Ovis aries: one gene and its partners. The protein of the gene in region 1 interacts with the protein of each later gene in a pairwise test. Links are inferred from orthologs where the notes say so. Each region holds a gene or a part of one and is shown on either strand. Other genes may lie near its edges.

Evidence for each region. The genes of interacting proteins can lie anywhere in the genome.
Region 2: the proteins of TCL1A (region 1) and TTC33 interact in binary tests that used the Homo sapiens proteins (3 or more experiments, as listed by UniProt). The two-hybrid records come from large-scale screens. The link is inferred for Ovis aries from reciprocal best matches to the Homo sapiens genes TCL1A and TTC33.
Region 3: the proteins of TCL1A (region 1) and U6 snRNA-associated Sm-like protein LSm3 interact in binary tests that used the Homo sapiens proteins (3 or more experiments, as listed by UniProt). The two-hybrid records come from large-scale screens. The link is inferred for Ovis aries from reciprocal best matches to the Homo sapiens genes TCL1A and LSM3.

Annotation. Positions count from the first base shown.
Region 1 is NC_056071.1:58,269,193-58,273,355, forward strand, and holds the start of TCL1A (T-cell leukemia/lymphoma protein 1A), read right to left. Parts: upstream 2,934-4,163; 5' UTR 2,849-2,933; coding exon 2,729-2,848; intron 1-2,728. UniProt on the Homo sapiens protein: Enhances the phosphorylation and activation of AKT1, AKT2 and AKT3. Promotes nuclear translocation of AKT1. Enhances cell proliferation, stabilizes mitochondrial membrane potential and promotes cell survival.
Region 2 is NC_056069.1:33,889,510-33,893,840, forward strand, and holds the start of TTC33 (tetratricopeptide repeat protein 33), read left to right. Parts: upstream 1-1,422; 5' UTR 1,423-1,585; intron 1,586-1,598; exon of another isoform or gene 1,599-1,781; intron 1,782-4,331.
Region 3 is NC_056080.1:116,710,586-116,713,190, forward strand, and holds U6 snRNA-associated Sm-like protein LSm3, read left to right. Parts: upstream 1-1,371; 5' UTR 1,372-1,384; coding exon 1,385-1,693; 3' UTR 1,694-1,996; downstream 1,997-2,605. UniProt on the Homo sapiens protein: Plays a role in pre-mRNA splicing as component of the U4/U6-U5 tri-snRNP complex that is involved in spliceosome assembly, and as component of the precatalytic spliceosome (spliceosome B complex).

The sequences.
Region 1 (4,163 bases):
GAGATGCTGGTGGTCACTGCTCCCTGAAGATCCAGTCCCTAAGCCGGACAACGCTCCTCTCAGGGGGCTCGGGCTGGGCCGGGATGAGCAGCACTTGAATGGGTCTAGATACCCAGACGAGACCTCAGAAGGTCCACCTCGTGACCAGTGCCTAGTTGCTAGGGAATGCCACGGGGCCCTGGGGCTTCTGTAATCATGGCGTCTGGGGTCCGTTTCAGCTGATGTGGGATTTTCTTTGATTATTCATTATCATGCATCCCCTTTGAAACAAGATCTGCCCAGACCCTGGAATCAGGTAACAGCATCTCCACCGCAGTCCTTGTTTCACTGCCTCTCACTAGACTACAGAGACAACTGCCCAGCCTACCGCCTAGTTGGTCCTGTGACCCACAGCCAAGTCTCAGCCCCGGAGCCAGGGTGCCTGTCTAAAAATCTTGTCTCTTCCCTGCTGGATGCCCTTCGACAGCTTCCAATCGCAGGCAGGTGAACTGGACTCTTCACCGTGGCCCACAGGGCTGCTGAGCCAGGTCCCTGCCTCTCTCACCTCCTCTTTCACCTCTCACCACCTACTGTTCCATCCTGGTTCCTCCATCCACTCCAGCCACACTGACCTCCTCACCATCTCTGGACACACACACTCCAAGTAGAAATCACTCCTACGTGCTGTCCTCTGCCTGGAACATTCTCCCCTAAACCCATGCAGGACTCACATCCTTTTTAAAGGCAGATCTTGGTTCGAATGAATGTTTATCTATAAAAACAAATGCCAGAAGAATCCAACTCTATGATATCCATAAGGGGCGTGCCCAAACCGATGTACAAAAAGGTTTCAGAGAAAATGATGGGCAATTTTCAGGTACATGCAAAAGAAGATTCTGGAGACGACCTGCATGAAGACCCCAGGCCACTGGTTCCTGCCTGCTATCCCACTGGAGTTATCCTACACAACTTCCCACCTGCCTCACCTACTGTGCTGTCCCTCTCCCTGAGTAGAAATATCAGCTTCACAAGCAGTGGGATTTAATCCCACCCACTGCAAATCCCCACAACCTAGAATTTTTGGCATATCAACAGGACACTTTGTTCAATGATTATTTTTCCAAAGTGGAAACGGCTTTTCAAGTTTTATCTATGAAGTAAGTTAGAATTCATCATTAAAAAACAATTCAGGATATCTTGCAAAGTGCAAGGGTGGAAATCACCCTTCTTGCCATGTTAGGATATGGCTTTCCATATCCTTGAACCATTTGAAATTTGCTTATTCACCTTTTTGTTGCTGACTTACATAAATCTTTTCAGATGAAGAATACTAGTTCTTTGAAATTATGTGGAGAAAATTCTATCCCATGGTTTGCTAAATGGCTTTGTCCAGAATTTATAATGATTATGTGACAAACTCTGCTTCGCAGTTTCAGCATCATGTTTAAGAAGATATGCCCCAACCAAAGATTAAAAAAAGATATTCACTTACATTTTCCTCAAATGCTTGGCTTAACGTGAATATTTAACTCAATTTTTAAAAGTATATATATTTCAAAATCTTAAAGGACAATAAAGATGCAAATTTTAGATGGTGGTTATATTTTAGATGATGCTGCACTGGAATCCCAACCCCATTAGCCTACAAACAGTACTACTTTGAACAAATGTCCATTTTTATGCCTCTATTTCCTCACCTATAAAATGGGAAAACAAGCATTCTCAGTAACTTTTTGCAATTTTACTATTCCATAAATGTTCTAATGACAATTATACTTTTATATATTCTTTCTTCGGTTTATATATGGAAAGTTTCAACTGTTTTCACCTAAGTTTCTTTGAGGAAACCCATGCTCTGATGGAAAGTGCTTGTAAGAGAGCTGTACTTCTTAAAAAAAAAAAGAAGTTAGTATTAACTAAAGATCCATCTTAAGGTCTTAAGGCATCACACATAAAACAAAGTCAGTGTCTGTTCCGTACTGCTTTATGCCATGTGAAATTTCTTTCTTTCAAAGACTTGAGGAGGTAGGAAATACCCCAAATTCTACTGCAGTGGTTCCCAAACTTGGCTGATCTTAATTTGTGGAGGGTCCTTTCAAAATACAGATTTCTGGGTTTCACCTATGGAGATTCTGATAATCTGCCAAGGGCGGTAATCACTTTCTCATGTTAGTTGTTCAGTCATGTCCAACTCTTCCTAACCCACGGACTGTAGACTGCCAGGCTCCTCTGGTCATGGGATTTCCCAGGCAAGAATACTGGAGTGGGTTGCCATTTCCTTCTCCAGGGGATCTTCCCAACCCAGTAATCCAACTTGGGTAGCCCACATTGCAGGCAGATTCTTTACCGCCTGAGCCACCAGGGAAACCCAAATCACTTCGGACAAAAGATTATTCCCATTTTATGGATTAGGTCCTTGAGATCCAGAGAAATCCTATTTTACTCGAGATCATATTCATACACTCCAGACATACTGGGTCCCCATCCTTTGGCTCTGTGTTTCTCCTACCCTCCTCTCCTGGCCTGGAGAACCTCTCATCCTTGAGCCCAGCTCAGAGTGGTTTCATCTGTGTGTCCTGGCCGCCCTGAGTGGACCTGCCCTTCTGAGTCTCCCCGCCGCTGCCCTCGCCCTGTGGCATCTGAGGGTGTCCTCTAGGGCCTGCACGACCTGGGGCGTCCGGGTCCAGACCCCGGGCCATGGGTGGGCCATCCATGCTGCCCTGCACGCCTGGCCCCACAGCGGCTGTACCTTGAGGGTTATGGGCAGCCAGGTGCGCCGGTTCTCGTCCACATACACAGCCTTTTCCCACATCCTCAGGTGGTCCGGATGAATGGGTGTGTCCGCCATAAAGAACGGGCCCTCGGCCATGGTGCCTCGAGGGGTCTGGAAGCAAGTGCAGGAGCCGCTCGAGGCTTCTCGCTGGTCCACGGGCTGCAGAACCTCGATGCTTTATAGTCGGAGGGCGCGTGGGCGCCCCCAAGAGGTGGGATTGGAGGAGGGGGAAGTGAGAGGAGGGCGGAAGGGGGCTGGGCTGGGAGAGGGGATGGTGGGGCGGGGCTGGGCTGGGAGAGGGGCGGGACGGAGCGGGCCGGGCGGGGCGGGCACAACAGGATCCGCGGGCCCTGCACCCAGACCTGCCTAGTGTTCTGAGACCCTGGCGGCCTCTAGCTCAACATGCAGTCCCACAGACTCAGGGCTTCCTCTAGACCCCAACCTGAGCCAGCCATGTGCTCCCCACTGCCGGGGAGGCACTCAGGTCTGTGGCCTTGGCCTTTTCTTCTGTGAGCAGGCACCAGCGCCCTCCGCCCCCCTGGATGCCGGGACTCCACTGTGTGGGGCTCCTTGGAGCCACCCTGCAGACTGGGACTCTGAGCCTCTGCTTGGAACTCACAGCCGACGTTGGGCAACCCGGAGCCAGGGCCCCCTCTGCATCTGGGATCAGAAGAAATGGGTGCAAGCCTGAACGAGGCCTGGACTTTTCCCAGGTTCACGGCACCACTTTTACCCTGTGGATTTGGGTGTCAGGGTCAATTTCCTTGGTAAATTGCAACTCTTGAAGCCCCTGTGCCCTTCCCCCCCACATTTTCCACTCTTTGATGATGCTGTGGTCATCTAATAGCTGTTGTGAAACCCGGTTGTGAAGAAACATGGGTTTTTCCCTTTATAGGCTTTGTATTCATTAGTGAAAACATCGTTCGAAATAAAGGCTTAAAAAGAAACCCCTCCCTCCATCCCAATATCAATGGATTTGAGGAGTCCCTGTGTTATAGGATCACACTGTCTCCCAGTAAATTGCATCAACTGAGGAAAACAATTTCACTTTATTTTGCAGTACCACATGCCCATTAAAGCAATTAGGAAAATAAAATACAATGAAAAACATGTAAAAGGGGCTCCAACCTCGTTGCTCAAACATCACCCGTGGTTTCTTGCCTCACCTTCCAGCTCTTTCTCATCTCTCTGACTAGTCGCTGAGAAAATTGTCTGTGATCTTTTGAAAATGTCTCAGAAGTGAAAATGACCTTGACACCTGAGCCCGCTGACAGCAAAGGTATGAATCTGCATCTCTGCCTATCCAGATAGCTTAATTCCTCAGAAGGTGCTGAGGTGGCCTAAAGAAACAGAGATACATCAGGATTTACCACGAACACAAAACAGAAGACAGACACCAAGTAAAGTTGAA
Region 2 (4,331 bases), on another chromosome or scaffold:
TTGGCTGCATTGGGTCTCTGTTGCAGCAGGGAAGATCTTCATTTCCTCATGCGGTATCTGTCATTGTTACGCTAGCACTCCAGAGTAGGCAGCCTTCAGTGGTTGCAGTGCACAGACTCTGTGGTATGCGGGTTTAGTTGCTCTGTGCCATGACGGATTTTTAGCTTCCCAATCAGGTATGGAACCTGTGTCCCCTGCATTTCAAGGCGTATTCTAACCCACAGAGAAGTCCCCCAAATACTTCTGACTCTGAAAGGATCTTGAGGACTCTCAGGGGTCTGAGGCTCATCTTTGGAGAATCATTGTTTCCCATCAGTGGTTCTCAATGAGGCTGAGGAGGGGAGAGGGGGATCCATCTTTCTTCCAGGGACTTTGGGCAACTTCTGGAGACATTTTTGGTTGTCACCACTGGTGGGGTGGTAGTGGATGCTAATGGCATCTTGCTGCTGCTGCTAAGTCGCTTCAATCGTGTCCGACTCTGTGCGACCCCAGAGACGGCAGCTCACCAGGCTCCGCCGTCCCTGGGATTCTCCAGGCAAGAACACTGGAGTGGGTTGCCATTTCCTTCAATGCATGAAAGTGAAAAGTGAAAGTGAAGTCGCTCAGTCCTGCCTGACTCTTAGCGACCCCATGGACTGCAGCCTCCCAGGCTCCTCCGTCCATGAGATTTTCCAGGCAAGAGTACTGGAGTGGGGTGCCACTGCCTTCTCCGAATGGCATCTAGTGCCCAGGGATACTGCTGAACACCCTGCTGCGCCCAGGAGAGTCACCCCCCACCCCCACGCTCCCGCGGTCTCAAATAATCCAGTTGGAAACGTTACACCCTTGAGGTTGAGAAAACTTGGTTTACAAAACTGAAACCACAACACTGAGAACAATCTCAATTTTTCAATTTCCTACACACTTCCCTGTGTTACACTTTCCCACTTTATTTTTCAAAACAGCTACTTTCGGGTCATAGTTCTTTCTTCTTTAGAGACGCTGCATCCAACTTTTTGGCCCCCTCGGCCGCCCTCCCCCGCCGACCCCTCCCCCCCGGTTGAGCTACGGCCCTCCCTGGTCCTCTCCCCACCCTCATATACTTTTATAGTTGGGTTTGCCTCTGTCCTCAGCACTTGGCTGATCTCAACTAGGTTGTAAATTCCTTCAGGGAGGGCCGCATATCAATGCTCTCGATTTCCCCCAAAGTCGTTTTCCGCCCTCTACCTGCTGACTGGATTGGCCTCGCGATACCACCAGCGAAGTCCTCTCCACGCGCACTCAGCCCGCGCAGACGCAGTTTCCGTCGCTCCCGAGCTGTGGGCACCAGCGCTCCGATGCTCTCGTCTGCCGCTAGAGGGCGCGCCCAGTCCGAGCGGCCCGGACTACCAGCCTCGGAGGGTAATAATGGGGTGGGGGCGGCCGCCGTGACTTCTGGGACTTGTAGTCCCAGGGAAAGGATTGCGGATGAAAGGCACTGAGTCGCCTCTTCCCAGCTCGCTGCTCCGGAAGGTTCGGACGCCCTAGGTCGACCAACCTCCTATCTTGGAAGACCCGGCATCTACGGCAAGCGGGAAGGAGGTGGGCACGATAGTTTCCGTTTCCGGTGGGTAAAGGGCAAGCGGAATGTAAACAGGGGACCCGGGGAGTGGCCTTCGGGTAACACAGGCTACGGGTCAGTGGTGGAAGTCGGCGGAAGTTGGGGGAAAACGAGGCGGGTGGGTCTTGGGGTGACTGGAGTAAGAAGCTTCAGAAGTCGGAGTTGAGGCCCACCGCGGGTGTAGCAGAGCCAGGACGCTAAGGTTGGTCTTTAGGGACCAGCAGTTTTGGGGTTCAGGCCCTTACCTGGTGCTCGCGCCCCTGGCGGGAGGAGCGGAAGGTAGCTGACTTTGCACCCCGGGGATGGGGCCCGTGTCTGGGGCGGGACTCTGAGCTCGCGGGTGACGTCCTGGGCAGCCCTTGTGAACTTCGCAGTTTTTTTGTGTACGTGTTTGTGTGTTCAAAATGAGGGGAAGTCGCTAGAACTGGTTTCTTTCTTGCGGGAACGTGTTTCGGGTAAATCGTTTCTTGCGGAATCCCTCACCTCCGAATACATCCATATACGCAGAAGGATGCTGTTTTGCTTCCTTATTTGTGTTCTTCAGTTTCCTCGCCTTCGTTGCTTCACTTTCCGACGCAGTGAAGAGAAGCATTCTCTAGCTTGTGGCAGGGTAAATTGTCTGTGTTATTCTTGTTCCCACACTATGTTGGTTTCCCTGGTGGCTCAGTGGTAAAGAATCCGTCTGCAATGCAGGAGACCAGGGTTCGATCCCAGGGTCAGGAAGATCCCCTGGAGAAGGGAATGGCAACCCACTCCAGTATTTTGCCTAGAGAATCCCGATGGACAGAGGAGCCTGGCGGGCTGCAGTCTATGGGGTCGCAAAGAGTCGCACACGACTGAATGGCTAACACACACTGTTTCGTCTCTCACATTGCCTATTTGGAAACTTGAAGCCAGAAAACTTAATCATCCTCATTCTTGTCACCTTTAGGGACAGTGGTAAATGCAAGGCTTCTTAACATGACTTATTCTAATATCTTGTGAGAGCTTTCTAACGATCCATTCTTATATTCTCTTTCTGTACTTCTGGACTTAGGTTCCATAGTAAACACACTTATATTTCAGGCTTTTTGTTGTTGTTGTTCTTTCCCTATGTTACTTGCAGTAATCTTCAAACATAGGAAACTCATTCTCCCCTATTACCATGGGTCTGGGAAGAGGATTTGGCTTTGTCCTCATTCCCTAGTATAGTTTATAATCCATTACTCCTGCAGGCTTTTCTAAAAATCTCTGCTCCTATGGAAAGCGTGTGGTTTACCCCTGTCAGCCTATCCATTCTTTTTTGGTTTGCTTTGGGGTTGTGTTTTTTTGGCCTCCCTTCTCTGCAGGTGAGGTCCTAGTTCCCCAACTAGGGATAGATCCCATGCCCCCTGCAGTGGAAGCATGCAGTCCCAATCACTGGACCCCCAGGGAAGTCCCACGCAGTACATTTCTTGATTGCTGTAGTTTATTGACACTTCATTAAGAACTTAGGCACATGATCCACGATTTTCTTACCTCTCCAAAATCTGCCATTGCCTTGGGCCTTTCCATGTTAGTGACCTCATAGCCACCCACACTTTCTTTTGGTCTCTTTCATCCTAGCGGTTACTTCTACTTTATTTCAGTGTGCATTGGTGATGACGAGCTTGGTAGCTGCTGGAACTTACTATTTCATTACTTTCCATTATTACTCCCACGATGCCCATTCTTTGATAGTCGTGTGTAGACCTCTGGTCCATTGCTTTTCCTTATCCCAATAGTTGATCAGTCAGTTGATACTCTCTTTGGGGTTGTAGGCTCCTTTAAGAATGGAATGAAAGCATAGAGACTCTTGTGCAGGGTACAAACATATAAAAATTCATTTACAATTCCAAAGGTTTCTCAGTATCTATAAACCTATCCATGTAACTAGCAAGAGTTCTTGATCCCTCAGTAAATCCCTTCTCGAAATAAATACTTGTTGAATTCTTCTAGGGTTTTCTTTAACTTTGTTCCATCAATTATGCTTGCTCACTCAGCCCTTATATTTTGTATTATTATTGCAGTTTTACAAAGCAGTTTAACATTTGTTATCATTCTGATTAACCATATAGTTCTGTGAATTAAATCATTTACCAGTTTTGAATCTTTCAGAAACTTTTTATGATGGAAAATTTCAAACATATATGCTAAGAGAGAAGTACAAAGATTCCATATACTCGTCACCTAACTTGATCACTTATCAACTCAGCAATCTTTTAATATGTGTATCTTATATCATATTCATCATTACTTTGAAACAATTCCTAGATACTGTGTAATTTCATGTAAAATGTATTAATATGTATTCCCAAAAGATGAGCATACTTTTTGTCAACATAATACTCTTATACCTGAAGAAGCAGGAATTTCTTAATATCATCAAATATGAAGGCATTGTTCTGATCCCCCATATTATTTCTTAAATTTTTCCTCCCCATTGGCTTGTTTGATTCTGTAACTAAACAAGATCCACACATTGTGTTTGGTTTTGTTTCTTAAGTCTCTCTTAATCTAGGGGGTACCTCCTAACTTTTCCTTTTTTCTTGAAGAAACCAGTTTTATTTTTCCTTAGTTTCTGTTCCTTGTTGTCTTGTCTCAGGCATGTTATTTAACATACTCCTCTGTATCCCTTATTTCTTATAAACCAGTAGAGATATAAGGTGATGTAGTGTTAATTTTGGCAGGAATACTTCATGGCTGCTGTGTCACTTCCATCAGGAGATACATATTGTGAACTTGTCTTTCTTTA
Region 3 (2,605 bases), on another chromosome or scaffold:
GTGGTGAACAAGACAGACATGGTCTCTGCTTCTGTGGAGTTTAAAATTTAGCAAGAGAGATAGTCCTTAGTAATCACAGTAATGAATGTGCTCAGTAGCTCAGTCGTGTCCAACTCTTTGCAGCTGCATGTAGCCCGCCAGGCTCCTCTGTCTATGGGATTCTCCAGGCAAGAATACTGAAGTGGATAGCCATTCCTTTCTCCAGGGGATCTTCCCCACCCAGGGACTGAACCCGGGTTTCCTGCATTGGTGGGCAGGTTCTTTACCATCTGAGCCACCAGGGAAGCACCCATGACTTAGTACAGCAGGGATACTAAGGCAGACATGTGGACTCCTTTGTTGGACAACTTTGGCTCAAGGTCTTGCAGAAGTTTCCTTAGACTGCCTGGTAGTCTCAACTGCTTCCATACATCCTTTTCTCTTCTTTCCCTCCTTACCAGTCAGGCTTCACTCACAGCTCCTTCTCTATTTTCTTTTTTTTTAAATATAAATTTATTTATTTTAATTGGAGGTTAATTACTTTCATACAGTCATTTCTCCTAATAAAATCTTGCCGTGTTTAATCTTGTTTTGACAAGAGCTTCTTGGAGGTGTAGAATAACATAAGTAGAGTGGGTATTTGAGATTCAGGAAACAGTGTTTACTTCCTAGGCCTAGATCTGAGTCACATGACTTGGTAAGAAAACCCAAAGCTGTGAGACTTCAAGAAAACTTAATGTTTGGTAGCTGTATATGCATGACCAGGTTATCAGGAATAATAAAGTCAAAAGGGGTGAGGAGGAAGATGCTGGGGCACTGGCTGCAAGCCCTGTCGTTGCCTTCTGCCATCCAAAAGCTGGGGAAAGATCTCTGAGTGTCTTGGGGAAGCTAGTATTTTCATTCGGCACCATCTTACGTGGCTGGCTCTGGTTTGTCGGCCTGGCTCCAGATGTCATTCTTTTCCTCCATGATTACCAAGTGGTTGCTACATCATCACGTGAGAAAATACTGGGTAACGCAGTAGAGAATTTGGGATCCAGGCTTTACTTCTTTCCTAAAGATGATCTCATTTGGTCAAGGTCTGTCTTCCAACTTCCAAAAATCTCATTTTTCTTGGTTTCAGCTTTTCCACAAGTTCTTTGCTATGTCTTTTGTCTTTGTAAACATGAAATGTTTTATTTTCTTCACTCAATTAAAATGCGTTTTGTGGGGACTTCCCTGGTGGTCCAGTGGTTAAGAAAGACTTCACCTTCCATTGCAGGGAATATGGGTTAGATCCCTGGTCAGGGAGCTAAGATCCCACATGCCTTGTAGCCAAAAAAACATAAAACAGAAGCAATATTTTAACAAATAAAGACTTTAAAAACGGTCCACATTAAAAACAAAACTTAAGAGGGTTTGAAAGATGGCGGACGACGTGGACCAGCAACAAACCACCAACACTGTGGAAGAGCCCTTGGATCTCATCCGGCTCAGCCTGGACGAGCGCATCTACGTGAAGATGAGAAACGACAGAGAACTTCGAGGCCGGTTACACGCTTATGATCAACATTTAAATATGATATTGGGAGATGTGGAAGAAACTGTGACAACTATAGAAATTGATGAAGAAACATATGAAGAAATATATAAATCAACAAAACGGAATATTCCGATGCTCTTTGTGCGGGGAGACGGCGTTGTGCTGGTTGCCCCGCCATTGAGAGTTGGCTGAAACGAGAATCCGCCGCCTGTGGGAGACGGGCTGTGCTGTGCGGTGGCCTCTTTGAGTGTGGAAGATGTTCCAAAGAGAGACCGATGTGCATCTTGATGCTGAAAATAAGCAAGAATTCTTCCACTCCTGAAATAAGTTGATTTGTAGATAACTCACAAATACTTCAGCTAAACGGCATTTTTATTTTTCTCCAACCCTTCCAATAAATGTGATCGGCGCGATACAGAAAAAAAAAAATAAATAAAAAAATAAAAAATAAAAAAAATAAAAAAAAATAAAAAATAAAAACAAAACTTAAAAAAATATTCATATGTTTTCAGCTCTTCCTTTCTTTTGAATTCTTTTTTTTTTTTTTTTTGGTGGGGAGAAGTACAGTTGCTTTACAATGTTGTGTTAGTTTCTGCTGTACAACAAAGTGAATCAGCTATATAGCTCTCTTCTTTCCTTAATATTTATTTATTTGTTTGTTTGCCCTGGGTCTTAGCTATGGCACACAGGATCTTCAATTTTGTTGCGACATGTGGGTTCTTTTAGTTGTGACATGTAGGATCTAATTCCCTGAATGGGGATTGAACCCCAACCCCCTGCATTGGGAGCCATGTGTCTTAGCCACTGGACCACCCAAGAAGTCCCACAGCTCTCTTCTTGAAGAGGCAGGTGTGTGTTCTGAAAAGAATGGGAATGGAGATGGAATCTCGACTCTACCACTTCCTACATGTGAGACTTCGTGGAAGTTAATTTTATGAGCCTTGATTTTCTTGTTTATAAAATGTAGATAACACCACCTACCTCCCAGGATAGTTGTGAGGATTAAATGAGTTATGGTATATAAAAAAGACCTTGTACATAGTAGATATAGAAAATATTAGTTCCCTTTTAGCTCCCATACCAATGAAAGTCTTGGGAGAGCTA